4 linked regions of the Anolis sagrei genome follow. The protein of the gene in region 3 interacts with the protein of the main gene of each other region in a pairwise test. Links are inferred from orthologs where the notes say so. Each region holds a gene or a part of one and is shown on either strand. Other genes may lie near its edges. The genes, in order: PAFAH1B1; histidine--tRNA ligase, cytoplasmic; TNIK; TRIM2.

What was found.
Region 1: the proteins of TNIK (region 3) and PAFAH1B1 interact in a two-hybrid assay, tested with the Homo sapiens proteins (2 studies listed by BioGRID and IntAct). The link is inferred for Anolis sagrei from reciprocal best matches to the Homo sapiens genes TNIK and PAFAH1B1.
Region 2: the proteins of TNIK (region 3) and histidine--tRNA ligase, cytoplasmic interact in a two-hybrid assay, tested with the Homo sapiens proteins (2 studies listed by BioGRID and IntAct). The link is inferred for Anolis sagrei from reciprocal best matches to the Homo sapiens genes TNIK and HARS1.
Region 4: the proteins of TNIK (region 3) and TRIM2 interact in a two-hybrid assay, tested with the Homo sapiens proteins (2 studies listed by BioGRID and IntAct). The link is inferred for Anolis sagrei from reciprocal best matches to the Homo sapiens genes TNIK and TRIM2.

What each region holds. Positions count from the first base shown.
Region 1 is NC_090031.1:25,959,081-25,966,695, forward strand, and holds the start of PAFAH1B1 (platelet-activating factor acetylhydrolase IB subunit beta), read right to left. Parts: upstream 3,009-7,615; 5' UTR 2,800-3,008; intron 2,649-2,799; exon of another isoform or gene 2,592-2,648; intron 1-2,591. UniProt on the Homo sapiens protein: Regulatory subunit (beta subunit) of the cytosolic type I platelet-activating factor (PAF) acetylhydrolase (PAF-AH (I)), an enzyme that catalyzes the hydrolyze of the acetyl group at the sn-2 position of PAF and its analogs and participates in PAF inactivation.
Region 2 is NC_090024.1:136,427,547-136,434,881, reverse strand, and holds the start of histidine--tRNA ligase, cytoplasmic, read right to left. Parts: upstream 3,011-7,335; 5' UTR 2,937-3,010; coding exon 2,856-2,936; intron 76-2,855; coding exon 1-75. UniProt on the Homo sapiens protein: Catalyzes the ATP-dependent ligation of histidine to the 3'-end of its cognate tRNA, via the formation of an aminoacyl-adenylate intermediate (His-AMP). Plays a role in axon guidance.
Region 3 is NC_090023.1:252,620,780-252,627,884, reverse strand, and holds the start of TNIK (TRAF2 and NCK-interacting protein kinase), read left to right. Parts: upstream 1-4,101; 5' UTR 4,102-4,788; coding exon 4,789-4,845; intron 4,846-7,105. UniProt on the Homo sapiens protein: Serine/threonine kinase that acts as an essential activator of the Wnt signaling pathway. Recruited to promoters of Wnt target genes and required to activate their expression. May act by phosphorylating TCF4/TCF7L2.
Region 4 is NC_090025.1:51,265,600-51,273,615, reverse strand, and holds the start of TRIM2 (tripartite motif-containing protein 2), read right to left. Parts: upstream 3,014-8,016; 5' UTR 2,745-3,013; intron 1-2,744. UniProt on the Homo sapiens protein: UBE2D1-dependent E3 ubiquitin-protein ligase that mediates the ubiquitination of NEFL and of phosphorylated BCL2L11. Plays a neuroprotective function. May play a role in neuronal rapid ischemic tolerance.

The sequences.
Region 1 (7,615 bases), on a different chromosome or scaffold from region 3:
ATAGTAAAAATACAGAACTAGCTAGATAGAAATAGGTGTAGAGCACCTGTCCCCAACCTGTGATCCATGGACCACTAGTGGTCCACAAGCACTAAAATATGGTCCGTGGCCTCACCCTTACTACACTGTTGCAATGAGTGTGACTGGTCTTGCAAAACCCTCTTATAATGCCGAGGCTTATTAAATATGATTTTCTGTGGGTGAGGAGATGGTGACTACTGGATGGCATATTTTCTGTATCAGAAACTAGAGCTGGTGGGGGTCTATCCAATGCTATTTTCTGAATAATTTTATTTTAATCTGTCTGTATGATTTTCTTCTTGGCAATTGAATGTTTTGCCTTATATATTGGAAACCGCCCTGAGTCCCATTTGGGGAGATAGGGCGGTATACAAATAAAGTTGTATTATTTTATTACTAAATAACCAAACCGAATCTAAAGTTGATCAAAAACTGATTTGTAACCTTTTTGGTACTAATGTCAGATAGTGGTCCATGGCCAAAAAAAGGTTGAGAACCACTGATATAGAACTAAAGGAGTATAGAGATAGATACAAACGATCTATTCTCTTCATCTCAGAAACCTCACCTTAAAAAAATCGGTAAGAGATAAAAAGAGACATATAGAGACAGACAAAACATATATAGATGAGGCAGAGACTATCCACCTCTCCATCTCACTTTTTTTATATAAAAATAGGTAACAGCTATAAACAGAAACAGGTATAGACTTTCCTCTCTCATTAACCTCACTTTTAGAAAACAGAAATCTACAGAGATAGATGTGGATTAACCATCCTCTCCATATAACTCTCTCCTTTGGATCAAAACAGAGATAGATAATAGATATAGACTATCCACCTCTCCATATAACCCTTGCCTTTGGATCAAAAAAGAGATATAGACTAACCATTATCTCCATATAAGCCTCGCTTTTGGATCAAAAAAGAGATAGATAATGGATAGACACAAATAGAGATAGATAGTAGATATAGACTATTCAACCTCTCCATATAATCCTTGCCTTTGGATCAAAAGAGAGTGATATAGACTATCCATCCTCTCCATATAACCCTCACCCTTGGATCAAAACAGAGATAGATAGATAATGGATAGATACAAATAGAGATAGGTAATTGGTATAGACTATCCATCCTCTCCATATAAACCCTTGTCTTTGGACCAAGAGAGAGATAGATATAGACTATCCATCCCCTCCATATATTCCTTATCTCTGTTTGTATCTATCCATTATCTATCTCTATTTTGATCCAAAGGCGAGGGTCATATGGAGAACATGGATAGTCTATATCTCTCTTTTTTGATCCAAAGGCAAGGGTTATATGGAGAAGTGATAGTCTATATCTATGATCTATCTTTATTTGTATCTATCCTCGCCTTTGGATCAAAGCAGAGATAGATAATGGATATATACAAATAAAGACAGATCATAGATATAGACTATCACTTCTCCATATAACCCTTGCCTTTAGATCAAAAAAGAGAGATATAGACTATCCATGTTCTCAATATAACCCTCGCCTTTGGATCAGAACAGAGACAGATAATGGATAGATACAAATAGAGATAGATAATAGATATAGACTATCCACCTCTTCATATAACCCTCGCCCTTGGATAAAAAAAAGATAGATAATGGATAGATACAAATAGAGATAGATAATAGATATAGATTATCCATGTTCTCTATATAACCCTCCCCTTTGGATCAAAATAGAGATAGATAATGGATAGATACAAATAGAGAAAGATAATAGATAGACTATCCATCCTCTCCATATAATCTTTGCCTTTGGATCAAAAAAAAGAGATATAGACTATCCATATTCTCCATATAACCCTCGCCTTTGGATCAAAATAGAGATAATGGATAGATACAAACAAATAGATATAGACTATCCATCCTCTCCATATAATCTTTGCCTTTGGATCAATAAAGAGAGATATAAACTATCCATGTTCTCCATATAACCTTGCCTTTGGATCAAAATAGAGATAGATAATAGATCTAGAGCTCCATCTTCTCCATATAACTCTTGTCTTTGGATCAAAAGAGATATAGACTATCCACGTCTCCATATAACCCATGTCTTTGGATCAAAATAGAGATAGATAATGGATAGATACGAATAGAGATAGATAGTAGGTAGAGACTATCCATCCTCTCCATATAATCTTTGCTTTAGGATCAAAATAGAGATAGATAATGGATAGATACAAACAGAGATAGATAATAGATATAGACTATCCATCCTCTCCATATAATTTTCGCATTTGGATCAAAATAGAGATAGATAATGGATAGATAGAGATAGCTAAGAGATATAGAGATCCACCCTCTCCCTCTCACACAGAGATCCTTCTGTCTCTCTTCTGTGGAAACAATGAAAATAAAGATTCGGGGTGGGGGAGATGGGAGCCTCGAGGATGGAAATACAAAGGCAGGGGAGGGAGGGGGTGTTGTGGGAGGGTGGGGGGGGCGCCATGATGGCGACGCTGGGGGTGAGAAAGGGGAGGAAGTGAAGAGCAAGTGTCCCCTTTCCCTCCCTGCCTCTCCCCTCCCTGCTTGCCTGACTCTCCATATCAACGGGCGCGGCGGCCATTTTGAGAGCGAGCTGGAAAGGAGGAGGAGGAGGGGAAGGGAGGGAGAGAGGGAGGGAAGGAGAGAGGCGGCGGGGCCTTGTTGCCTCCTCTCCCCTGTGAGGCCTAACAGGGAGACGAAGCCTGGCTCGATTTCCCGTCCCTGTCTCCCTGTGGAAGCCGGCTTGACTGACCTACCCGAAACGGGGTGTTTTCCTTCTCGTTCCGCCGCCGAGGCCGCTCCCATTCACAGAGGGAGCCGGGTGCCTTGTGAGGAAGGAAGGGGGGCGGCGGCTGGGCCACGCCAGAGACAGGCCTCGGGGCCCCCTCCCCTTTTGCCGGCTTGTGAGGAGAAAGAAGATGGAGGAAGCCCGCCGGAGGAGGAGGAGGAGGAGGGAAAGGAGGGGGAGGAAGTGGGCGTGGCCTAGCGCGGGCAGACTACGCTTGCGCGGCGGAGGCAGCCGGCGCCATCTTGTCGGGGGCGTGGCTTTCGCCCCGGCTTGCGGCCCGCTTCGAGGAGTGCGCCTGCGCGGAAGGAGGGAGGGAGGGAACGCGGGAGGGAGGGAGGGAGTGGGCGCCATCTTGGCAGAGGGGGGAAAGGCTCCCGGCATGCCTCGCGCGGGCAGAGACTCAGAACAGCACTTGAGGAACCAGCCTGGGCACAGCCTATTATTATTATTATTATTATTATTATTATTATTATTATTATTATTGGAGAGCACAGAAATGCTGGACCACTCTCACAACCACCAGGGCAGGCTACACAGAGAAGCCACTGAAAACCACAAGTATATGGACAATTTGATTAGCATTTAATGGCCTTGTAGCTTCAAAGCCTGGCTGATTGCTCCCTGGGGAGGAAACCTTAAAAATGGACAAAATTTGGCAACCAGTATTACAAAAATACCTCCAAAATCAGGACAGTAAATAAAGAGCAACACTAAAATAACTAATATTGTGCTATGCTAATAATAGTGTTGTATAGGTTATTTCGGGCTGTATGGCCATATTCTAGAGGCATTCTCTCCTGACGTTTTGCCTGCATCTATGGCAAGCATCCTCAGACGTAGTGAAGTCTGTTGGAACTAGGAAAAAGGGTTTATATATCTGTGGAATGACCAGGGTGGGACAAAGAACTCTTGTCTGCTGGAGCTCATCTCCATTTTTAAGCCGAAGAACCGGCGTTGTCCGTAGACACCTCCAAGGTCATGTGACCAGCATGACTGCACGGAGCGCCGTTACCTTCCTGCCGGAGCAGTACCTATTGATCTACTCACATTTGCATGTTTTCGAACTGCTAGGTTGGCAGAAGCTAGGGCTGAAAGCGGAAGCTCACGCCGCTCCCCGGAATCGAACCTGCGACCTTTCGATCAACAAGCTCAGCAGCTCAATGCTTTAACCCACTGCACAACACGAAAAAAAACTAATATTGTGCTATGCTAATAATAGGGTTGTTGTAGGTTATTTCGGGCTGTATGGCCATGTTCTAGAGGCATTCTCTCCTGTCGTTTCGCCTACATCAAGCATCCTCAGAGATAGTGAGGTCTGTTGGAAGTAGGAAAAAGGGTTTATATATCTGTGGAATGACGAAACATCATTCCACAGATAACATCAGGAGAGAATGCCTCTAGAACATGGCCATACAGCCCGAAAAAACCTACAACAAGCCAGTGATTCCAGCCATGAAAGCCTTCGACAATGCTAATAATATATTGTATGTATATATATATCTTCTATCTATATATAAATTTATTTATTTATTTATTTATCGTGTCAGTGCAACCAGTCGATTGTATTACATTTCTAACAGAACAAAGCAAAAAAACCAGACAAAATACAAAATTTGTGAGTTTGGTAGTTGATTAAATGTCCTTTGCATGGTGCATGTGGCAGGGCTCAGGTTGCATTGCAGCAGGTGGTCAGTGGTTTGCTCCTCTCTGCACTCGCATGCCAAGGATTCCACTTTGTAGCCCCATTTCCGAAGGTTGGCTCTGCATCTCGTGGTGCCAGAGCGCAGTCTGTTCAGCGCCTTCCAAGTCGCCCAGTCCTCTGTGTGCCCAGGGGGGAGTCTCTCATTTGGTATCAGCCATTGGTTGAGGTTCTGGGTTTGAGCCTGCCACTTTTGGACTCTCGCTTGTTGAGGTGTTCCAGCGAGTGTCTCTGTAGATCTTAGAAAACTATGTCTTGATTTAAGTCGTTGACGTGCTGGCTGATACCCAAACAGGGGATGAGCTGGAGATGTCTCTGCCTTGGTCCTTTCACTATTGGCTGCTACTTCCTGGCGGATGTTAGGTGGTGCAATACCGGCTAAGCAGTGTAATTTCTCCAGTGGCGTAGAGCGCAGGCACCCCGTGATAATGCGGCATGTCTCAATGATAATAATGATAATACTGTAATGCAATATAATAATACAATAATTATTACATGTAATATTACTAATAATATTGCAGTATAGTAGTATAGTACAATATAGTAATATATAATACTAATATTGTGCCATGCTAATAATATAATGTATGTACATTTAATATTGATAATAGTGTGATACAATGTAATAATACAATAATAATTATTACATGTAATATTACTAATAATACTGCAGTATAGCGGTATAATACCCCTGTGGCAGAGGAGGCTGAAGATCTCTCCGCCTGTCCTTCTCTTCCTTTTTGGTGTTGGTGAACTATAAATCCCAGCAACTACAACTCCCAAATGACTAAATCAATACCCCCCCAAACCCCACCAGGATTCAAATTAAGGCATATGGGGTCCAATGAATGAAAACACATCCTGCATATCATATATGTACATGAAGATTCATAACAGTAGCTAAATGACAGTTATAAAGTAGCAACAAAAATAATTTCATGGTTGGGGGTCACCACCAGGGTTATTTATTTATTTTGTATCTAAAGCATTGCATAAATTAGTATAAAACTGATAAATGTATTGTCAAAGACTTTCATGGCTGGAATCACTGGCTTGTTGTCGGTTTTTTCAAGCTATATGGCCATGTTCTAGAGGCATTCTCTCCTGACATTTCGCCTGCATCTATGGCAAGCATCCTCAGAGGTTGTGAGGTCTGATAAAAACTGATAAAAATAGAGCGCAGGCAGCTAAGTATCTTCCGACCAAAAATGGGCAACAGCAATGGCATTGTCTGTGGTCTCCAACAATTCCTCCTCTGTACATGAGGCAGGGCACAGTGGACAAGCATACAGATGTGGAGTTGTCTGTTCTGCTCCACAGTCACACAAGGTGTGGGATCAGCCAGGCTTTGAAGCGACAAGGCCATTAAATGCCTCCAAAATACCTGATGGGCCGAAGTTTACCCATGGCTGCTATAGAGGATATTGCAGTAATGGTCCTTAGGAAACCGATTTGGCCTCCCTGCCAACTTGAAGGGAAAATAACTCCACAAAATAATGATGCACAAAGCCATCCCTGCGAGCATTGTTTGTTTTTTCGCGTCTTATCAGTCGGGAAGAGGAGTCAAAAAGTAATGAATGACTAAAGCCTGTATTATAACTCTCACTTGGTGTGAAGACAGGAAAGATCAAATGAGGTGCGAAGGGCTGAATGGCATTTATTTTTCGAAAAAAATAATTTAAGTGTGGCAGGCAGATATGTGTGTTTAGCAAGGTTTGTGCTCCTTTGTGCGGGTGTTTCAATGAAAATAATACTTCACAACATTCAGCTAGGCTTTTGGGAAGCGGGACACGCTTATGTTTTATTGTCTGTCGCTTTCCAAAGCAAGACCCGATTTGCCTCGTCATTCCTTGATCCTGTGTTTCAATCGGGAAGTCTCTGAGGATAAATGCAACCTGTGTCAAAACAAGGCGGAAAGAAGAAAGGTTGAGAAGGCATTGAGCAAACATTTTGGTGTCCGGTCCTCCATTAAATCCCTCCATTAAAAGAACGAAAAGGGAGTTGCAACTGAGATAGCAGGCAGTAAAAGATGTGAACAGCAAAACCGGGAGTCCTCTCATCTGAAAAGTTCTATCCTCACCCCATATTTGTGAATAGTCCGTGACTGTGAGTGCATGTAGGCTACATGGTGAATATGAGACAGCAATGTGATGTGGCAATGAAAAAAGTCAATAGGATTTTAGTTCATGTTCTCCTATACCAGTGATTCCCAACCTTTTTTTTTTACCAGGGGCCACTTGACCAGAGGCCACTTTGACCAGGGACCATTTAATCAAGAACCACTTGACCAGGGACCACTTGATCAAGGACCACTTGACCAGGGGCCACTTGACCAGAGACCACTTTGACCAGGGACCATTTAATCAAGAACCACTTGACCAGGGACCACTTGATCAAGGACCACTTGACCAGGGGCCACTTGACCAGAGACCACTTGACCAGGGACCACTTTGACCAGGAGCCTCTTGTCCAGGGACCACTTTGACTAGGTACCATTTGGCCAGAGACCACTTGATCAAGGACCACTTGACCAGATACTACTTTGACCAGAGACCACTTTGACCAGCGGCCTCTTGACCAGAGACCACTTTGACTAGGTACCATTTGATCAGGGACCACTTGATCAAGGACCACGTGACCAGGGGCCACTTGACCAGAGACCACTTTGACCAGGGAGCACTTGACCAGGGACCACTTTGACCAGCGGCCTCTTGATCAGAGACCACTTTGACTAGGTACCATTTGACCAGGGACCACTTGATCAAGGACCACTTGACCAGGGACCACTTTGACCAGAGACCACTTTGACCAGGGGATACTTTGACAAGGTACCCTTTGACCAGGGACTATTTAATCAAGGTCCACTTTGACCAGGCACCATTTGACCAGGGACCACTTTGACCAGGAACCACTTGAACAGAGACCACTTTGACCAGGAACCACTTGAACAGAGACCACTTTGACCAGGGACCACTTTGACCAGGTGCCATTTGACCAGGGACCACTTGATCAAGAACTACTTGGCCAGGGACAACTTTGGCCAGGGACCACTCCCAACATTAGTACTAAGATGGTTACAAATCAG
Region 2 (7,335 bases), on a different chromosome or scaffold from region 3:
CACAAACTTATGCTTCCCATCCTCTGGGCATATGGTTGCCTTCATTTGCAAGAGCTTTGCAACCTGTTCTGCAATCTGAAAGAGAAGAATTTAACCAATATATAGGTTACACCACTGTGTTGTCAAAGGCTTTCATGACCGGAATCACTGGGTTGCTGTGAGTTTTCTGGGCTGTGTGGCCATGTTCCAGAAGCATTATCTTTTCGCTCACATCTATGGCAGGCATCCTCAGAGGTCGTGAGGTCTGTTGGAGGCAAGTGTGAATGTTGCAACTGGCCATCTTGATTAGCAGTGAATAGCCTGGCAGCTTCAAAGCCTGGCTGTTTCCTGCTTGGGGGAATCATTTGTTGGGAGGTGTTAGTTGGACTTGATTGATTCTTGTCTGGAATTACGCCCCCCCCCCCTTTTAATGTTGTTCTTTGTTTACTCTCCTGATTTCAGAGTTTTTTAATACTGGTAGTCAGATTTTGGTTTGGTTCATGGTTTGTTTCCTCCTTTCTGTTGAGATTGTCCACATGCTTGTGGATTTCAATGGTTTCTCCGTGTAGTCTCTTTGGTTGTTAAGAGTGGTCCAGCATTTGTGTTCTCAAATAATATGCTGTGTCCAGGTGGTTGATCAGATGTTCTGCTATGGCTGACTTCTCTGGTTGAATTAGTCTGCGGTGCCTTTCATGTTCCTTGATTTGTGTTTGGGCAATGCTGCGTTTGGTGGTCCCTATGTAGACTTGTCGACAACTGCATGGTATATAGTAAACTCCTGCAGCGGTGAGGGGATCCTTCCTGAACAAATGCTAAGTTCAGCAAAGGACAAGAGAGACCCTCTCACTTCTGCAGGAGTCTACCGTATAACATGCAGCGGTCGACAAGTCTTTCTATGGAAAGAAAAAGTAGGATAAAAACAAATAATAATAATAATAATAATAATAACAACAATGTATTGTCGAAGGCTTTCATGGCCGGAATCACTGGGTTGTTGTAGGTTTTTTCGGGCTATATGGCAATGTTCTAGAGGCATTCTCTCCTGACATTTCGCCTGCATCTATGGCAACAGACCTCACAACTTCTGGGGATGATTGCCATAGATGCAGGTGAAATAATGCCTCTAGAACATGGCCATATAGCCTGAAAAAACCTACAACCCAATAATAATAATAATAATAATAGTCATAATAATAATAAGTATTTGCAGTCCCAGGCGACAGCAGGATTGAAGAGAAACAACTGGGAAAGCTGACACGATACAAGGATTTAAAGATCAAACTGCAGAGACTCTGGCAAAAACCAGTCAAGGTGGTCCCAGTGGTGATCAGCACTGCCTAAAGATCTTGGCCTGCACTTAAACACAATCGGCACTGACAAAATTACCCTCTGCCAGCTGCAAAAGGCCACCTTACTGGGATCTGCATGCATTATTCGCTGATACATCACACAGTCCTAGACACTTGGGAAGTGTCCGACGTGTGAGCCAATATAACAGCCAGCATAGCATCTGCTGTGGACTCATCTTGTTGTGTTTCAAATAATAATAATAACAATAATCACGTATCATTCAAAAATACATCACAGTCTTAAACGCTTGGGAAGTGTTTGACTTGTGATTTTGTGATACGAAATCCAGCATAGAGATCTTGTTTGCTATGACATACTGTGTTTTGTGTCAGTAAAATAATAATAATAATAATAATAATAATAATAATGTGATCACTATATATACCAGGGGTTCTCAACCTTCCTAATGCCACGACCCCTTGATATAGTTCCTTATGTTGTGGTGACCCCCAACCATAAAATTATTTTCATTGCTACTTCACAACTGTAATTTTGCTACTGTTGACATTTGGGAGTTGTAGTTGCTGGGATTTATAGTTCACCTACACTCAAAGAGCATTCTGAACCCCACCAACGATAGAGTTGGGTCAGACTTCCCACACAGAACCCCCATGACCAACGGAATATATTGTGTTTTGTGATGGTCTTTGGCGACCCCTCTGACACCCTCTCGTGACCCACCCAGGGGTCCCGACCCCCAGGTTGAGAAACACTGATATATACTATGGGAAAAAGTAAAGGGAGTTGCTGTGAGTTTTCTGGGCTGTATAGCCATGTTCCAGAAGCATTCCCTCCTGATGTTTTGCCCACACCTACGGCAGGCATCCTGAGGTTGTGAGGTCTGTTGGAAACTAGGCAAGTGGGGTTGATATATCTGTGGAATAACCAGGGTGGGAGAAAGTGTAAATGTTGCAATTGGTCACCTTGATTAGCATTGCAGTTTCAAAGCTTGGCTCACACCCTCTGAGGATGCCTGCCATAGATGTGAGCGAAACGTCAGGAGAGGATGCTTCTGGAACATGGCCATACAGCCCAGAAAACTCACAGCGACTCTCTTTACTTTTTCCCATAGTATACATACTGACCACATAAATAATAATATTATGTTTGTTTATATCCTGCTTTTTCTTTCCATATGGAGACTAAATAGACAACACAAGTGTGGCTATACAGACACATAGATTTTTTTTAAAGGAGATAGTTCAATGATGCATAAGTGGTGGAAAAAGCAGAGCAATGTGCAAGGGCCTGCCATCAGAGAGGCCATCTACACTGTATGATTAATGCAGTTTGATACCACGTTGACTGCCATGGCTCAATGCTATGGAATCCTGGGAGTTGTAGTCACACAAAGTCTTTTAAGCCTTCTTTGCCTAAGAGTGCTGATGCCTCACCAAACTACAGCTGCCACGATTCCATAGCATTGAGCCATGGCGGCCAAAGTGGTATCAAGCAGCATTGATACTACAGTGTAGAGACACCCAGGGGCACAGGTTGTGACCTAGAGTACTGCCTGGTCCCCTCACCTCCTCCTGGCTGGCTTTTTCCTGCTTGAGGCGCCGAACCAGCTCCGCCTGTGCCTTCAGCGCCGACTCCCCCTCCGCCATGGCCTCCGCGCCGCCCGGCCACCAAGACGCAAAGAAGCGGCGACTCTGCTCAGGGCCAGCCTCTACTGCAGTGCGCATGCGCAGGCAGCATCCCTATCCCCGCCCCACGCATGCGCATTGCTTTACAAAGAAGCCACCCGCTCTCGTCTGTATCGGGTGATGCAACAAGGCTTTGGGATGGCAAAGGAGTCAAAGAAGGGAAGTGACGTCAGTTCTGTAGTCACCCTGTGATCCCTGCCTGCATTCTCTCTATCGACCTTCCTTTTCCATTAGTTTGAATAATACAGTCCCGGATACGCCTGAAAGTCAAGCCAGTTCATAGAATCACAGAAACAGCTGGAAAGATTTGAGGGTGCATCTATTCTACACTGTGAAATTAATGCAGTTGGGCACCACTTTTGACTGTCATTGCTCTATGCTATGGGATGTAGTTTGTTGAGGCACCAGCAGTCTTTGGCCGCCTCGTTGAACTGGATTATATGGCTGTGTAGACTCATAATCAAGTTCAAAGCAGATAATGAGGATTCTATGGCAGTGTAGGCTCATATAATCCAATTCAAAGCAGATAATGAGGATTCTATGGCAGTGTAGGCTCATATAATCCAGTTCAGAACAGATGAGGATTCTATGGCAGTGTAGACTCATTATCTGCTTTGAACTGTAATTCAGTTCAAAGCAGATAATGAGAATTCTAATAATAATAATAATAATAATAACAACAACAACAACACTTTATTTGTACCCCGCTACCATCTCCCCAAGGGACTTGGTGCGGCTTACATGAGGCCGAGCCCGAATACAACAATACAAACAGTAATAACAACAATACAAGCAATTAAAAATAAAACATGGACAATACAATAATGCAACATTAACAATAAGACCACACGATTAAAAACTATTCTATGGCAGTGTAGACTCATATAAGCCAGTTCAAAGCAGATCACAAGGATTCTATGCCAGTCTAGACTCAAGGGGCCTTAGGTCCCTTCCACACAGCCATATGACTCAGAATATCAAAGGCAGATAATCCACATTATCTGCTTTGAACTGCATTAACTGAGTCCACACTGCCATATAATCCAGTCCAATGTGGATTTTATACAACTGTGTGGAAGGGGTCCTAGTCAGAGGAAGGCTGAAGACCTTGAAAAAATGGAATCTCCAGGATCCCACAGTATTAATATATAGCAGTTGAAGTGGTGTGGAGCTGCATTAATTCTACTGTGTAGACATGCTCCTCAAGGGGCACTCAGGCCCCTTCTACACTGCCATAAAATTCAGATTTTTTTTTGTCGTGTCAGGTGCAACCTGAAAAACTGCAAATTGCTTCTGGTGTGAGAGAATTGGCCGTCTGCAAGGACGTTGCCCAGGGGACGCCCGGATGTTTTGATGTTTTATCCTCCTTGCGGAAGGCTTCTCTCATGAGGAGTTGGAGCTGATAGAGGGAGCTCATCTCCCCAGATTCGAACCTGCGACCTGGTCTTCAGTCCTGCCGGCACAGGGGTTTAACCCATTGTGCCACCGGGGGCTCCTATAATTCAGATTATCAAACCCAATAATCCACATAATTTGCTTCGAAATGGATTATTTGAGTTTACACTGCCATATAATACAGTCGAAAGCAGATAATCTGGATTTTATATGGCAGTGTTGAAGGGGTCAGGGGCTGGGTCTATACTACTATAGAATCAGGTTTTTCAAAATTAATCCAGATTATCTGTTTTGAAGTGGATTATCTGACTCTGCACTGTCATATAATCCAATTCAAAGCAGATAAACTGGATTTTATATGGCTGTGTAGATGGGGCCTAAGGGCCCTTCCACACAGCCCTATATCCCAGAATATCAAGGCAGAAAATCCCACAATATGGGTTATCTGAGTCCACAGTCAAATAATGTGGGATTTTTTGCCTTGATATTCTGGGATAAAGGGCTGCGTAGAAGGGCCCTGGGGCTCACTTAAAAAACTTCTGAAGCCATAATCATCATCATCATAATCATCATCATTATAACCTGCTTTTTCTCTCTTAAAAGAGAACCCGCCGTCCAAAATTTAGAATTTCACTGCAGACAAGTGGTATGAAATTAGGAAACCTCCTTAAAAATTGTCTTGGATTGATATGCATCATCTTGTTTTTGCATATAAGTAAAGGGATGCTCAAAATTTTACCACGCATTTCTCAACATTCACCATATATAGATTGTTGGAAGTTGAATCTAGGTTTGGAAAAACATACTTTGGATAATGGAGCGCACCAGAGCCTTTCAGAGGAATAGCAAACCCATTGATTGCACGGTTTCTCAAACCGTGCTCTTCCAGATGTTATGGACTTCACCTCCCACAATTCCTAACACCTGGTATGCTGGCAGGGATTTCTGGGAGCTGAAGTCCATAATACCTGGAGGAGCACAGTTTGAGAAACACCAATATAGATTATGAAAAAATATGGACCTGCTGTTAAATAAATGGGTGGGCAACAACATTTGACGATCATGATGCACAACCTGTATTCAGGACAAGAGGTTATTGTTAAGATAGAATATTGTAGAAACAGAATGGTTTCCAATAGGCAAGGGGCAATATTATACCGTGAACCTCTTAAAACCAGTTTAGAATCAGTGGAAGAAATAGTGAAAATTGGAGGAAGAAATATCAGCTGCAAATGGCTTGCATACTAGAAGCAGCATGTTGCAAGCAGATAACACTATGTAACAAAATTTGATTTTTTTTTCTGTTCCTGGTTTGAAAGTACTGGTTTTTTTTTGTTTAATTGTGCAGTACTTGTTTTAAAAGTAGTTGTTATGCTTCTGAAACTTTGTTTTTGTGGCTGCCAAAACTATGTTGAATTGGTTGAGACTCTGAGATATTCATTGAAAAACTATAGCAAAGTGTGCTGCAGGATGTCCTGCAAAAACAAAGCTTTTGTAGTTGAATAAACCTTTTTCATGTTTTTCTGATAGAACCAACTGGAACAAAAACCATGTTACATAGTGTAATAACAAAGATATGCTATGGCTTTTCATTACTCCGGGAGGAGTAATGAAATTAGCCCCCATGTTTCTGTGTGCTTGTGTATATGGGGAAAGGTCGTCATCTGTCAGGACCCCCTGTGGCCATCTGGTCAGACTCTTCCGGGTTGTGGATTTGAGAGTCCTATTTTTCCATAATAGTTATCAAAAACTGGGACAGTGAAGAAAGCTGTCAGTAAGATAGAAATTTAATTTGAAATATGATGCTGGAGGAGTGTTTTGCACACACTGTGGACTGCCAAAATGACAAAGCATTAAAAAAAATCTCCATTGAGATGTACTGTACCAGACAGAAAATGCTATGTCAGAAGTAGACACAAATAGATTGGCCTTCAAAATTCTCCTTGATAGCTATGGAAATGTATGAAGGGAAGCTAAAGTGCTTACACAGCTGTCATGCTTAAAAGAGAAAACTAAATTAAGTTCATTGTGAAATTTATCAACATAAAGATTTGACAACTTATGCAGTCTGAAAATTATGTCCATGCAGATGTCTGATTGACCATGATCTGGTCATATCCATGAATAGACCACCTCTAAACTTACTAGGCTTCTTCATGCTTTACCTGAAGTTGCCATTGCTTTTCTATTTCTTTCATTTAGCCAAGCCTCAACATTGCACAGATGAATGTACATAGTGTTCAAAACTTTGACATTGATTAAAATTATCACTCAGATCCAGATTGTATCATTACTTTCCAAAATATATGCAATATGTCACAATACCTCATTACATGCTGTTACCCCACACTGCAGGGGACAATGGAAATCCACCAACAGCTACCAATAACTTCAAGTAAATCTTATACTCCTTTTAAAAATATTATTTCAACGCTGCAGTTCCCTGTAATGGTAAACTGTTTCTTTATCCCTTTAAATCTCTCAATACCTTGTTTTTAGTTATGAGAAAAATATACTAGTGGTTCCTAAAGCTTAGAATATTGCTTTAAATTGAATAAAACTAGAAACTGAAATTCAATAAATACTAATTGCTGAAATTGTTCAAGTCATTGAGTTACCATTAATTTATTCATTGATAATCACGATATAGCATAGGCCAGACCCTGGGATTTACAGAGAATGGCATGGAAGTTTTCGCTGTTGACCTTTTTTTGACCAGGGACCACTTCCCAACATTAGTACCAAAAGGGTTATGAATCAGTTTTTGGTCAACTTTAGATTCAAGTTTGGTTATTTGGGGTGCTGATTTAGAAAATCTCATTGGACAGACCACATCAGCTTTAGTTTCTGATACAGAACATATGCCATCCAGTAGTTGCCATCTGATTGTCTACAGAAAACCATATTTAATAAGCCTTGGCACTATAAGAGGGTTTCGCGAGATCAGTTGCTCTTGTTGCAATGG
Region 3 (7,105 bases):
ATTCAATGCAGTCATGCCAGCCACATGACCTTGGAGGCATCTATGGACAACACTGGCTCTTCAGCTTAGAAATGGAGATGAGCACCACCCTCCAGAGTCGGACATGACTAGACTTAATGTTAAAAGGAAACCTTTACCTTTACCTTTAAGGGAGCCTATCACAAAGTTTTCTGGGCACTTTTTTCAAAGGACATTTACCTTTGCCACGCTCTGGATATGACTTTCCCAAGGTTTCCAAGATGAAGTGGGGATTCGAACCCAAGTCTCCAAAATCCTAATCAAACACTTGAACCAGTACATGACACTGGCCCTTTAACTGTTTTTAAAAGTGCTGGAACAATATCCATGCTTGCAGGACAAATTGTGACTCAGGAATTAACCCTCTGGAAAAGTGAAAACTTGATGAAGCAAGAGTGCTTCTGGACATGCATGGCCTTCAACATCAGCCTACACACCCCAGAGTTTACTAGAAAGGCCCCGAGCTCCTTGGAGTGGTGTTTTCAAGGAAACCCCTGCCAATCTTTTTTTTTTCAGAAACAAACTTTGAATACATTTCATCAAAGACAGAAAAAAATCAGGTGCCTCGATTATTTTATATTTTACTGCTCCTGCTAGCAGGAGGAATGCAGTTGTTTTTAATCTCACGTGTCATTGGGTGAAACAGAAAGCCCTTTTCTTTCTCCATCTGCAGTTAGACCGAAGGGAGGAATTTTGGTCACGCGTTTGACAACGGCTGCTTTTAAGGGGCCTGATTTGAATTCATACTGTTGGCATTAAATCCGAATTTATGATTCAAACAGGGAAAGGTCAGTTTGCAGAGCTCGCTATTGGATAAATTCAAAAGAAACTGCAGGGCTGGGATTAATGAAACTGAGCACAGTTTCCCTCTTTCTGATTTTGATTTTGAATTGAGAGGTTTTATTTCCCTCCCTTTCTTAAGGCATTCAGCACCAGCTCTCTCCTTTAAGGGAAAATATCTGGTGCAATCTACAGCCCATTCCAATGCTTTTACTCCAAAGGAGGCCTTATTAAATGCAATGGAAATTGCTCAGGAGTAAGGGTTACAACTGTAGCTAATGCATTTGTATTAACTCAGGGTGCATCTACACTAGGCATGTGCAAACTTGGGCCCTCCAAGTGTTTTGGACTTCAACTCCCACAATTCCTAACAGCCTCAGGCCCTTTTCTTTCCCCCCTCAACCACTTAAGGGCCCAAAGCTGTTAGGAATTGTGGGAATTGAAGTCCAAAACACCTGGAGGGCCCAAGTTTGCTCATGCCTGATCTACATTGTAGAGTTAATGCAGTTTGACATCCCTTTTACTGCCAAGACTCAGTGCTGTTGAATAACATGAGTTATAGTTTTATAAGGTCTTTAACCTTCTCTGTCTGGGAGTGTTAGTACCTCATCAAACTACAAATCCCATGGTTTCATAACATTGAGCCATGGCAATTAAAGGGGTATCAAACTGCATAATTCTGCATCTTCATATCCAAGCCCCATTGATCTCCAGTGGACAACCCCAATAAAGTATCATCTAAAGGTGCCTCCAAACTGTAGAGTTAATACAGTTTGTCATCACTTTAACTTCCATGGCTCAAAACTATGGAATCATGGAAGTCGTAGTTTTACCAAATCTTTACCCAGTTATGCCAAAGAGTGCTGATGCTTCCCCAAACTACAACTCCCAGGATTTCATAGCATTGAAACCTAGCAGTTACAGTAGTGTTGCCAGGCCCGTAGCCAGGATTTCGTTTCGGGGGGGGGGGGGGCTAAAAAATTTTCAGGGGGGGTTTTGGGGGGGGTGAGTTTCGGGGGGGGGGCTGAGTCTGAGTGAAAGAGGGTCTAGCCTAGCAAACCTTTTGTATCATTACCCCAATACCCCCATGCATATGGGATATATTGAGTATGGTGATCAGATCATGATATGAATAAACATAACAGTTTAATTAATGCACCAGTAAGGCCTTTTCGCGAACCACCATGAGAATTTCGGGGGGGGGGGCTGAAGCCCCCCCCCCCCCCCCCGGCTACATGCCTGCGTGTTGCCCTGCCTTAATTCTACAGTGCAGATGGATCCTAAGTGTGGGTTTTGTAATTCTGACGAAATCATAGAGTTGAAAGAGACCCTCAAGGACAATGCAGTTGCCATTAAAGAACACCCAATCAAAGCAGGCCAGATATTATTACCCTTATTGCTATAAATCCTTATTATGACAATGCTCCTTCAGTCTGAGAGGGCATTCTTCACTGTAGACATAAAGAGGTTTGGCCCCACTTTAACTGCCAGGGGTCCATGCAAAAGGCCATCACTCTTAGGCCCCTTTTACACGGCCATATAAAATCCAGATTATCTGCTTTGAACTGGATTATATGGCAGTGTGGACGCATAGAATGAAAATGTTTCCCATTTGGGGGTGGTGCTCATCTCATTTTCTAGGCCGAAGAGCCGGTGTTGTCCATAGATGCCTCCAAGATCATGTGGTCAGCATGACTGCATGAAGCGTTGCTACCTTCCTGCTGAAGCAGTACTTATTAATCTACTCACATTTGCATGTTTTTGAACTGCTAGGTTGGCAGAAGTTGGGGCTAACAGCAGGCGCTCACCTCACTCCCCAGATTCGAACTTCCACCCTTTTGGTCAGCAAGTTCATTAGCTCAGTGGTTTAACCCACTGCGCCACTAGGGACTCCTGTGGACTCATATAATCCAGTTCAAATCATATAATGTGGATGATCTTGTAGAAGGGGCCCCGAGACAGAAAAGGCTCGATACAGAAAAGGCTCGAAACTGCCAGGATTCCATAGCACTGAGAACAGTTAAGGTGGTGTGAAAGGTATTAGTCCTAAATCAGGCATGGGCAAACTGCGGCTCTCCAGGTGTTTTGGACTTCAACTCCTGCAATTCCTGACAGCTGGAATTCTGGAGTTGAAGTCCAAAACATCTGAAGGGTTAGAAAAGACCTTCCAGAAACACACAATCAAAGCAGACATTGTTATTATTACAAATCCTTGTTGTGACACTTGTTCTTCCTTCTAAATGTATTTGTACTTGGCCTTGACATAATCACCATCATAATGAGTGGATTGAGTATGCTTTTGGACACAAGCTGTAATGCAGCGTTTCTCATCAAGTATTCAAGCCAAGTTTGGTCCAGATCCAGCATTGCTTGAGTCCACAGTGCTGTCTGGATGTAGGTAAACTACAATTCCCAAACTCAAGATCAATATCCACCAAACCTTTCCGGCATTTTCTGTTGGTCATGGGAATTCTGTGTGCCAAACTGGGTTCAATTTCATCGTTGTTGGAGTTCAGAATGCTCTTTGATTGTAGGTGAACCATAAATCCCAGCAACTACAACTCCCAAATGAGAAAATCAATCCTCCCCAAGCCCACCAGGATTCAAATTTGGGCGCATTGGGTACTTGTGAATGAAAACACATTTTGCATATCAGATATTTACATGATGATTCATAACTGATAGGAGTTGTAGTTTTGGGAAGTGCTGATGCTTCCCAAAACTACAACTCCCAGGATTCCATAGCATCGAGACCTGGCAATTACAGTAGTGTTGCCCTGCAATAATTCTACAGTGCAGATCGAGCCTAAGTATGTGGGTTTGTGGTCATCTCCATTTCTAAACCAAAGAGCCGGCGTTGTCTGTAGGCACCTCTAAGGTCATGTAGCCGGCATGACTGCTTGGAGCACCATTACCTTCCTACTGGTGCAGTTCCTATTGATCTACTCACATTTGCATGTTTTCGAACTGCTAGGTTGGCAGAACCCTTCATAACAGCAGCAAAATTACAGTTATGAAGTAGCAACAAAAATAATGTTATGGTTGGGGGTCACCACAACGTGAGGAACTGTATTAAGGGGTTAGGAAGGTTCTGGCCTTGAGATAATAATCATTATCCTACTGAGTGGATAGAGTGTGCTTTTGGACACAAGCTGTAATGCCTGGGTGTGTTTGTGTTGTAGTGGCCAAGCCCACCGCCACACAACGCTATTGCTTGGCTCTCTTTTCCCCCTCCCCTCCCCCTCCCCAGAGAAGCGGAGGAGGCGCCGCCCCTCCCTGGTCCCCCTCCCCTCCCTCTCTCCCTCCCAGGAAGCCTCCTCTTCCTCCTCCTCCTCTTCCTCCTCGGTGACAGCTTTCTCTGCCTCTCCATCCGAGCGAGTGGAGGAGGCGAGGTGCGCCGGGACCGCACCGGGAATCGCCTCGTTATCTTCACCGGGAGGGAGAGGAGCGGGGAAACCGAGGCAGCCTCCCCACCCGGGCCAGGAGAAGCCAGCCATGCCCTCCTGAAAAGCAGACCCTCCCGAGCAGAGGCACCTTCCCTTCTCCGCCTTTGCACGCCTCTTCTTTCCCCGAGAGCGGCGCGTAAAAGTGCCCGGGCGCACTCGCCTTCGCCTCTCGTCCAAGGCGCCGGAGCTCCTGCTTCTCCTCTCGCTTTCGCTGCCCTTTCCTGGGGGACGCTGGTCGGAGGACGTGAGCGTTGAAGGAAGGAAGGAAGGAAGGAAGAAGGAAGAAGGAGGAGAGGAGGAAGGAGGAGAGGGAAAGGGTGCCGCTCCTCTCCATTGGCAGCAGCAGCAGCAGTAGAAGCGCAAGCAGGGCGCATGAGAGGGAGAGGCTGGAGGTCTCCATACAGGGACCCTCTCTTCCCACCCAGCCGAAGACGGAGGGCTTGCTGAGCTTGTGGGGCAGCAGGAGAGGCCGGAGCCCGAAGCCAGCGCCGTGGGTTTCTTCCCTGGGGCCGTTTTTCCTCGGTGGAGGAGCCCCCCACTCAACATGGCGAGTGATTCTCCAGCGCGGAGCTTGGACGAGATCGATCTCTCCGCCTTGAGGGTAAGAAGCAGGGGGGGGGGGGGCTTGGGAGGGTGTGTGTGTGTGTGTGTGAGTGTGTGGCAGAGGAGCCCACCCAGCCTCGCTGCCCCCTCCCCCCACAACAGATGTCCCCTTTCCTCCCATCCATCCAGCCTTTCCCTTTCCTCCCTTGCCATCCCAGAACTTCCCAGATGGGCACAAACTGCTCCTCTTGATAACAGCAGGGTTGTTTTTGTTATTGACAGAAAGCCTTCCCTCCTGGAAGATGTGTGGGTGTTCCTGTTCTGAATGGAGGTGGAGAGCTGTCTAGAACCCGCTGGTGATAATCAATAGTATGGGGAAAGGGCAAGAAGAGGGATCAACCAAGCACAGCTGGGAAACAGCATCTATCTCTCATCACACTAGAGAATGAATCCTCTTTAAATCCGGTTGCTGCCTCCTGCAGAATTCTGGGGTTTGTAGTATAGCGAGGCTGTTAAAGTCTCCTCCTTAAACTACAAACCCCAGAATTCTGCAGGAGGCAGAAACCAGATTTTAAGTGGATCCATTCTCTAGTGTGATGAGGTCTCTAAGACTTCATCACACTAGAGATTGAATGTCACTCCTTGTTGTTATCCCTTAATGTTTCATGTCTTCCCTCATATATGATATGAAAGGAGAGGGATTGAAGGCACATTTAAATTAAAGGTGTTTTGGATATGGTTTTGGTCACCTCTCGCCTATTCTGCTGCTTCCTGCAGAATTCTGGGGTTTGCAGTTTAGTGAGGCTGTTAAAGTCTCCTCCTTAAACTACAAACCCCAGAATTCTGCAAGAGGCAGAAACCGGATTTTAAGTGGATTCATTCTCTAGTGTGATGAGGTCTCGAAGAACTCATCACATTACAGCATGAATGTCGCTCTTTGTTGTTACCCCTTAATGGTGCATTTCCTCCCTCATATAAGATATGAAAGGAGAGAGATGGAAGGTGCATTTAAATGCAAGGTGTTTTGAGATGGTCTTGGTCACCTCTCGCCCATTCTGCTGCCTCCTGCAGAATTCTGGGGTTTGTAGTTTAGTGAGGCTGTCAAAGGCTCCTCCTTAAACTACAAACCCCAGAATCCTGCAGAAGGTAGCAACTGAATTTAAAGTGAATTCATTCTCTCGTGTGGTGAGGTCTAGATTGCTCCTTGTTGTTACTCCTTAATAGTGCATTTCCTCACACATATATAATATGAAAGGGGAGAGATGGAAGGCACATTTAAATGCAGGGTGTATTGGAGATCGTCATGGTCACCTCTCACCCATTCTGCTGCTTCCTGCAGAATTTTGGGATTTGTAGTTCAGTGAGGCTGTGAAAGTCTCCTCCTTAAACTACAAATCCCAGAATTCTGCAGGAAGAAGCAACCAGATTTAAAGTGGATTCATTCTCTAGTGTGATGGGGTCTTAGCTCCTTATTGTTACCCCTTAATGGTGCATTTGTTCTCTCATATATAATTTGAAAGGAGAGAGATGGAAGGTACATTTAAATGAAAGGTGTTTTGGAGATGGTCTTGGTCACCTCTTGCCCATTTTGAAGGTTGCTTAATGTGTCTCTTCCAAATCTAATCTTTTTCCCTCCCCTTCTCCTTCAAAATCTACATTGCTGCTACAGTATTTGGGAAAGGAACACATACAATGTGTCCAGGCATCAAAAATAGAAGCAGTAAGGTAGATGAACCAACCCCACTGCTCTCTTGACTCTTTTCCCAGTCTCAGGCTCGTTTGATGATAATATAAACAATCCTCTCTGGCATATGTGGAAAGAAAGGCGGCATGGAAATGCCCATTGCACACCCTGATGTGCCGCTATTAAGACATGTCATGGGGATATGTCTTAATGGTCATGCGTCGCTGTTGTTGCTCCGTGTGCATGCATTTTGCAACCATCTGCTCTGATGCAAGCTAGCTAGGTTGCTATTCTCACAGTGTGTGAAAGCTAAAGACAGTGGTAGTGTCCATTTTGATGAAATAGGATCGAATGCACCTTTTTAATGAGCTCTTCCATTCCTCTTGAAGGAAGAGGATGTACCTCCTGGCTGTTTTAGCCATGTGACATGCTACATACATCACATTATGGGCTGGGGGAATGAACTGAATCAGTCTTGACACAGGCAGATCAGCCTGAGTAGATACTTTGTGTCTAATACTGATATAAAAATGACATGTGTGAGCAGGGCATTGTAGGAATATTAGATGTCTTCATGATGCCTCCTGTAAATAAATTGGGGCCATAAATGTGTTGTCCTCTATTGTTCTGCTTA
Region 4 (8,016 bases), on a different chromosome or scaffold from region 3:
CCATCGTCCCTCATCATGGGGGTTATGCTGTCTGTGGCTGATAGGAGTTCCAAATGAACAAGTTCAATTCCTACAAGGCCAAAGTCACATCCCTATATATTAAAACAATATGGTAAGTTGCATTGCCAATTTTCTCGGCTTTAGAAATAAGAGAGAAAAGCCTGATCAAATGTATTGGGATTCTTTCTGTTTCACACTATACCCAAGAAATCCAAAAGCTATCATGACCTTAAATTTCCTCACATCCCTGGGCTCAACAAAAATAATATTGTATTGTGTTTCATATTTGTTGTGATCAGACTGACAATATTAGTTTCTCTTAAGATCTGTGCTTTACCAAACTCAAAACTATAAATTTTGAGTTACGTTTAACCTAAAGAGCTTTATGTTTTCAAGGTCTTTTAGGATAGATCCTGTTATCTCTGTCAGTGTCCTAAGAGGATTTGAAATCCCCAAACCATCCTTTAAGACTCTAACAATAGATTTAAAAAGCATGTTGAACCAACAAAATGTTTACCAAACAACACACAGAAAAAGCAAAAGTGTAATTTTTATTTGATTTGTATCCAGCCTTTCTCTCAAAATGAGATCTAAGGCAGTTCACCATAATTAAAACATTAATTGCAAAAGTTAAGAAGAAATTAAATAATTAATATTGTTCATAATCATTAAAGGTAAAAACAATTTAAATATAATTTAAAAACATAATAAAAGCAGAAAATGGGATTAACACATTGAAACAGCACATCAGTTGCACACAGAGAGAGAGACAGAGAGAGTAATGTCCATTACAATATTTTGTTGAGATCTGTGGTGACATTCATTTCTTGTATCCCTATATCTTTACCTTATTTCCCTTTAAGTATGAGCCAAGGTGGCACAATGGGTTAAACCCTTGTGCTGGCTAAACTGCTGACCTGAAGGTTGGTGGTTTGAGTCCACGTGATAGGGTGAGCTTCCTTCTGTCAGCTCCAGTTTCCCATGCGGGGACATGAGAGAAGCCTCCCACAGGACTGTAACATCTGGGCGTCCCCTGCGCAACGTCTCTGCAGATGGTCAATTATCTCACACCAGAAGCAACTTGGTTAATTTGGGAGAGTTTCTCAAGTCGCTTCTGACACAATAAAAAATTCCCTTTACATTGAACATGCTGATTAAATAGCATGAACAAAACTTTGTGCTTACATGCAATGTCCAGGCATCAAAGTAAATCAATTACATTTAGGCATTTCAAATAATTCTGAATCTGAGATATAGGCCTCGGTCATGTATGCAGTGCCAAATGAAAGGATATTTGGCTTAGGACCTTATCACACTCACATGCGCACACAAGAAAATGCCTTTTAAGTACACAAGCCGACCTTCAAGAAGGCTTGATGAGGACTTTATACACACTGGATACATACCCACCCCATCACATTTGGTTCTCTCTGTTCTGTATCTAATTAAATAATGTGCCTTTGACTTATCACATGGCAGAAAGATGGCTCCTCCCAATCCGTGGGATGTTTCCAGATGTCACTGCCTTTCCCTTTATTTCTTTTCGGTAGATCTTGTGCAACCATGTATGTTTGTGACCTCCATCCAAATGTAAAAAACATCTCTTTGGACCTGCAGAGATGTGCAGTTCCATTTTTTAAAATAAAAAAAAAACAGCAAAAGTTAAACACAGCAAATGTAGCGAAACAGAACGTGGGTGGTTTTTATACCAGTTCTTTCAATGTGAAACCAAAGATCTGTGAAACCACTTATTTCAATGGAAAACCCAAAACTTTGGTAAACCACTGATTTTCAGTGGGAAACCCATGATCTGGTAATCCACTTCTTTCAATGGATCTGTTAAGGCAGTGTTTCTCAACCTATGGGTCCCCAGGTGTTTTGGCCTACAACTTCCAGAAATCCCAGCCAGTTTACCAGCTGTTAGGATTTCTGGGAGTTGAAGGCCTAAACATCTGGGGACTCACTGGTTGAGAACCACTGTGTTAAGACAACCTGCAGATAGGTATACCCCTCATAAAACTTCACTCCCCTCATAACATGTAAAAAACCTCACCTCTGACATGGATGGAGAAATATAAAAATGAGAGGAGTGAATTGTTTTCTATCTGACAAAATATGCTGTTGCCTGCAGGTGCCTACGTGTTTCCTATGAAAGGGACCGTGTGTCATGTGACAGGAGCCGTAAGCACTAGTATGCAAAAGGCATCAGAAACAGTGCATATGACTGTGTGATGAGGTCCTTAAATGCCCTGGATTAAATAAGAACTAGATATAGAAAACATGTGTTTACTGTGTTTCCAAGAGGAAGATGTTTCAGATGTCCTCCTATGACATCATGCAGAAAAAAGTGGACGATACTGATTGTTTGAACTTAACAACAAGTTTACACATAGCATGAGCTGACTTGATGTTTTTACACACAGAATGACTCAGCACTGAAATATCACTGCACTTGTTTCTGCCATATTACTACTGCCACCAAAGCCAACAACAAACCCTAGATAGGTGAATAATTTAGATATAATATTATTTATTTATTTATTTATTTACTTTATTTATACCCCACCTTCCTCCCCGAGGAGACAATTGATTGGATTATTTCTCCTCTACTGAAATGTAATTCTGTTAACATCTTACCATAATATTCCATCAAGTACATATTTATAGAAAAATATCCACTTACATCTCCAGTTTTTACCAATGACATCCCATTTTGGCTATATTTCAGATTGAATATATCCTACCTTGTTCTCATTTTCTTTAGGGCTGTGTTCTTCTACATTTCAGCTCAGCAGTATCTCCATACTGCTGGAAGCCATGCAGCACAAACTTGATGGATTATACATAGTGACAAAGTCTCGTCTCACCACCGTCTGTTCAGCTTTGATTTACATCTGAAGATTTCTTAAACAAATTTGTTCCCTATAAACAAAAGCAAAGAATTCAAAGCCATCAGGAAAAGCCAGGCTGTGGGTGAAGGCACTCTGTACTCTTCCTCAAGCACCGCCTTTCAGCAAGCAGCAGGACACAAAGGTGTTGAGGTCATGTAAGGCCAAGGGATCTTGCTCATTGATAGGATTTAGGTGTAATCCTTAGAAGAAGAAATGAGAAGCAGTGCTAATTTGGGAGGTTGAAGAGATAGTAACAATTTCTTCTACAAGAATGTACGAGGGGCGAATAGCTGCCAACTTTTTTTCTGATCAGGAGATATAACTCACACTTTATTATTATTAATTTATTTACTTTATTTATATCCCGTCCATCTCACCCCGGAGGGGGCTCAGGGCATCTCACAAAAAGGCACAATTTGATGCCACATATACGTTCATAGGATAAAAGAAAACATATACATTAAAACCAAATAATTAAAACATCACAATCTTAAAACCAATTAATTAAAACTACACAATCCAAAGGTATGTTCCAGGAGCCATTCCAGTCATAAATTGCACTATCCCATAATCACTTATTGCATTGAAGATTACTGTCCAAAGGCTTGGTCCTGCATCTATGTCTTCACTTTCTTTCTGAAATCAGGAGGGAGGGAGCTGATCTAATTTCACTTGGGAGAGAGCTGCATAACTAAGGGACCAACACTGAGCCAGGCCCTGTCTTGTCCCCACCGGTCACACCTGCGAGGAAGGTGGGTTTGAGAGCAGGGCCTCCCCGGAAGATCTTAACCTCCGAGATGGTTCATAGAGGGAGATATGTTCGGACAGGTATGCTGCTATATGAGGAATAGGTTAGTCCTCAGTATTGTTGTTTATTCATTCAGTTGCTTCCAACTCTTCATGACCTCATTGACCAGCTCACACCAGAGCTCCCTGCTGGCCATCACTACCCCAGCTCTTTCAAGGTCCAACAGTTACTTCAAGTCCTCTGTATTTCACATTTATTGTACAAAAGTTTCTAGATTCCCATTCCACCCTCTGCGTCAGTCTGCTATTTATTTTTAAGATAAACATGGTTAAAACATAGGTATTTGTATCTTTTTTGTATGCAACATGCACAACTGGACACAATTTTGAGGATTGTGAATTGCACAAAATGTCTGTAGAAGTGGACATACTAATGAATATGTGTATTCTGATCTGTGCATTGGGGAACTGCAAAACAGCATATTTACTTTTAAAATATGGTCTATCTCCCCCATTTTGATATGCATTTTTAATGTTCATTAATCTCTGTTTCTTAGGGCCCATCCAATCATTACCTTTATCCTGGGAGCTCTTACAACAAACTGGAGGGTGGCCAAACGCCATTCCCTGTAAAGATGGAAGCAATAGCCACAAACGGCAAAACCACAAGATTTTCAGGTGTGAGAACATCCTGAATCTGAGCCCAAAATCCACATCTTTGAATGTCTGCATGTGTGTTTTTTTTAAAAAAAGCTAAAATTTCAGGCGGACGTCCTGCAGTGGCTATTTTGGGGGCTGCAAAATCCCGGGACAAAGCAGCAAGTGTGGATGGCAGAAGCAGAAATCCCAGGACCAACACGTCTGTATCTGGACATCTTTTCAGGTCCCAGTGTTTTTTTGCCCCTGACTGAAGTGTGTGATTTGGTGATGTCTGGAACTGCCCTTAGACTTGTTTCTTACACCTCTAAAGCAAAGCACAGGAATAGAAACTTGCTCAATTGAATTCATTGAGCTTGGGAAATGGGCCCAATGGTTCCTTTTAGATCTCCTTTCCCATGTTACCTCTTTAGATTTTTGAAGAAAGAGGGCCCTCTGCAATAGCCATTGTCTCCCTATAATTTGAACAAACGTGTTCACTTCCTCATATCTTCCTGGACAAATTCAGATACTGAAAATCAAAATGAAATTGCATGTGTACTTGTCTTCATTGCACATTGTAAAAATATGGTTACGGGTGTTGTTAAACCTTTAAAGAATGATAGGAATGTGCCTGGAGATGAGTATTGACTGAGTAAACTAACACTTTTGTTCCCAAAACTTTAACAGTCTTTATTTCTAAAAGTGACTTTATATGTTGCTGATTTGATCATTATTTTCAAACTAGTTAGTGAAAGCATATAAATATTAGTTTGGAGACTGGCACAAGTTCAGCAGATAAGATACACAACTGCCTTCCTAGCAAAGGTTTTTCAAATGAACGTGCATGCACCATCACTATAAAAATGGAGTGCTTTGATGTTTTACCTCTGTTGACAGCAAGCCAACAATCTGCTATTGCTGATGTCATGGATGTTCTAAATAAGGCAGTAGGCTTTCTGTGGGCTTAATCTTTGAAAAGCTTTGTTGTATTGTAAACTGGGTCTCTGGGTTCCAGGATGAATGCTTTAAATGACAATAGTAAAACACATTCTTTACTAGAACTCATACAGGTTCCAATTAACCAAAACATGATTATTGATCAGAATGGTTAGAAGTGTGAGTTGTTTCTAATAATCATAATGTCTTAGGATCAGTAGTAGCTGGCAGAGCCAATGGCGGTGCAATGGGTTAAACCCTTGTGCCGGCAGGACTGAAGACCAGCAGGTTGGAGGTTCGAATCCAGAGAGAGAGAGAGTGGATGAGCTCCCTCTGTCATCTCCACTTCTCATGCGGGAACATGAGAGAAGCCTCCTGCAAGGATGGTAAAACATCAAAACATCCAGGTGTCCCCTGGGCAACGTCCTTGCAGACGGCCAATTCTCTCACACCAGAAGCAACTTGGAGTTTCTCAATTTGCTCCTGACACACACACACAAAAGTAGTAGCTGGCATGGTGCAGTAAAACTGAAAGCAGGGACACAATATAGGGCAGAAATGAGTGAATTTAGCAAGATTTGAGGCCAACCTTCTGATCCTAGGAATCTCTAGAAGTCACAAGGCTTCCAAAAATATAATAATGCATGCAAGCAAGCAGGCAAAGGAAAACTGGAAAGGATGGAGGTCCAGTTCTTGTTTTAAAAATGGTAAAGAGTGAAATAAATGTTTAAAAGGGGCAAACTCACATTCCTAGAGGCTGCCACAAGAGACAAATTTATACTCTCCAATATTTCATAGATGAAATCTGGGGTGCATGCAGCCTAGCAATAGCAGAGTGATCAAAATAAAAAAAATTAATTAGGAAGAAAAGACAGGCTAGGCAAAACTACGGTGAGGTGGATCTGTAAGGCAAAACTACGGTGAGGTGGATCTGTAATTGGTTAAGTGGACGAACACAGAGAGTGCTCACTAATGCTTCCTCCTCATCTTGGAAAGAAGTGACAAGTGGAGTGCCGCAGGGTTCCGTCCTGGGCCCGGTCCTGTTCAACATCTTTATTAACGACTTAGATGAAGGGCTAGAAGGCATGATCATCAAGTTTGCAGACGACACCAAATTGGGAGGGATAGCTAATAGTCCAGAGGACAGGAGCAGAATTCAAAACGATCTTGACAGATTAGAGAGATGGGCCCAAACTAACAAAATGAAGTTCAACAGTGACAAATGCAAGATACTCCACTTTGGCAGAAAAAATGAAATGCAAAGATACAGAATGGGTGACGCCTGGCTCGAGAGCAGTACGTGTGAAAAAGATCTTGGAGTCCTCGTGGATAACAAGTTAAACATGAGCCAACAATGTGATGTGGCGGCAAAAAAAGCCAATGGGATTTTGGCCTGCATCAATAGGAGCATAGTGTCTAGATCTAAGGAAGTAATGCTACCCCTCTATTCTGCTTTGGTTAGACCACATCTGGAATATTGTGTCCAATTCTGGGCACCACAATTCAAGAGAGATATTGACAAGCTGGAATGTGTCCAGAGGAGGGCGACTAAAATGATCAAGGGTCTGGAGAACAAACCCTATGAGGAGCGGCTTAGGGAACTGAGCATGTTTAGCCTGAAGAAGAGAAGGCTGAGAGGAGATATGATAGCCATGTATAAATATGTGAGAGGAAGCCACAGGGAGGAGGGAGCAAGCTTGTTTTCTGCTTCCTTGGAGACTAAGACACGGAACAATGGCTTCAAACTACAAGAGAGGAGATTCCATCTGAACATTAGGAAGAACTTCCTGACTGTGAGAGCCGTTCAGCAGTGGAACTCTCTGCCCCGGAGTGTGGTGGAGGCTCCTTCTTTGGAAGCTTTTAAGCAGAGGCTGGATGGCCATCTGTCAGGGGTGATTTGAATGCAATATTCCTGCTTCTTGGCAGGGGGTTGGACTGGATGGCCCATGAGGTCTCTTCCAACTCTTTGATTCTATGATTCTATGATTCTAGGATGAGTTGCAGCCATTTGCTTTTGCCCAGGGCTCATCAATACAGGCAATATAATCTGTATTCACCATAATTCCAATCTTGGCTTGTACCCATAACAATCCTGTACTTCTAGTAGACTGTGCAGAGGAACTGGGTTAATCCAGCATCCTGTGTTTAAAAGTTTTGGGGATATCCATGAGTTTGCCTGAAGCAACTCCATGACTTTGAGACAATGTGGACAACAGACTCAGGTCCTGTTTTGGACAAGTCACAGTGCACATGGGCATGCCCTTTTCCCTGTGCTCATTGGCCCATGGGAAAGGAAATGGATCATCCCCATGTTGGCACCATCGTGGGTACCTTGGACTAGTATCAGCAGAGGTGCCAACATAAAGTGAAAGAAGATGAGAAGATTAGCTCTGTCCTTCTTTCTGGTTGTACAAGCAAAACTGCAAATAACTGCACAGGGTGCCCAGGATAACAAGAACTCTAATGGAGCTCTGCAGCTGTCTGGGAGCAGTGATATCGACATAGCCATTAAGATGGCAGTCCAGAGAGACCAATGCAATCTTGGACCAACTAGAACAGTGGTTCTCAACCTGTGGGTCCCCAGACGTTTTGGCCTTCAACTCCCAGAAATCCTAACAGCTGGTAAACTGGCTGGGATTTCTGGGAGTTGTTGGCCAAAACACCTGGGGACCCACAGGTTGAGAACCACTTAACTAGACCATCTACATTCCAACCCACCATAAACACAGGTTTGGGATGTTGCACATTGCTACCTCTGGGGCCAGTCCATTTCTGACCCAGACTTTCCCCAGATTAACTGGCT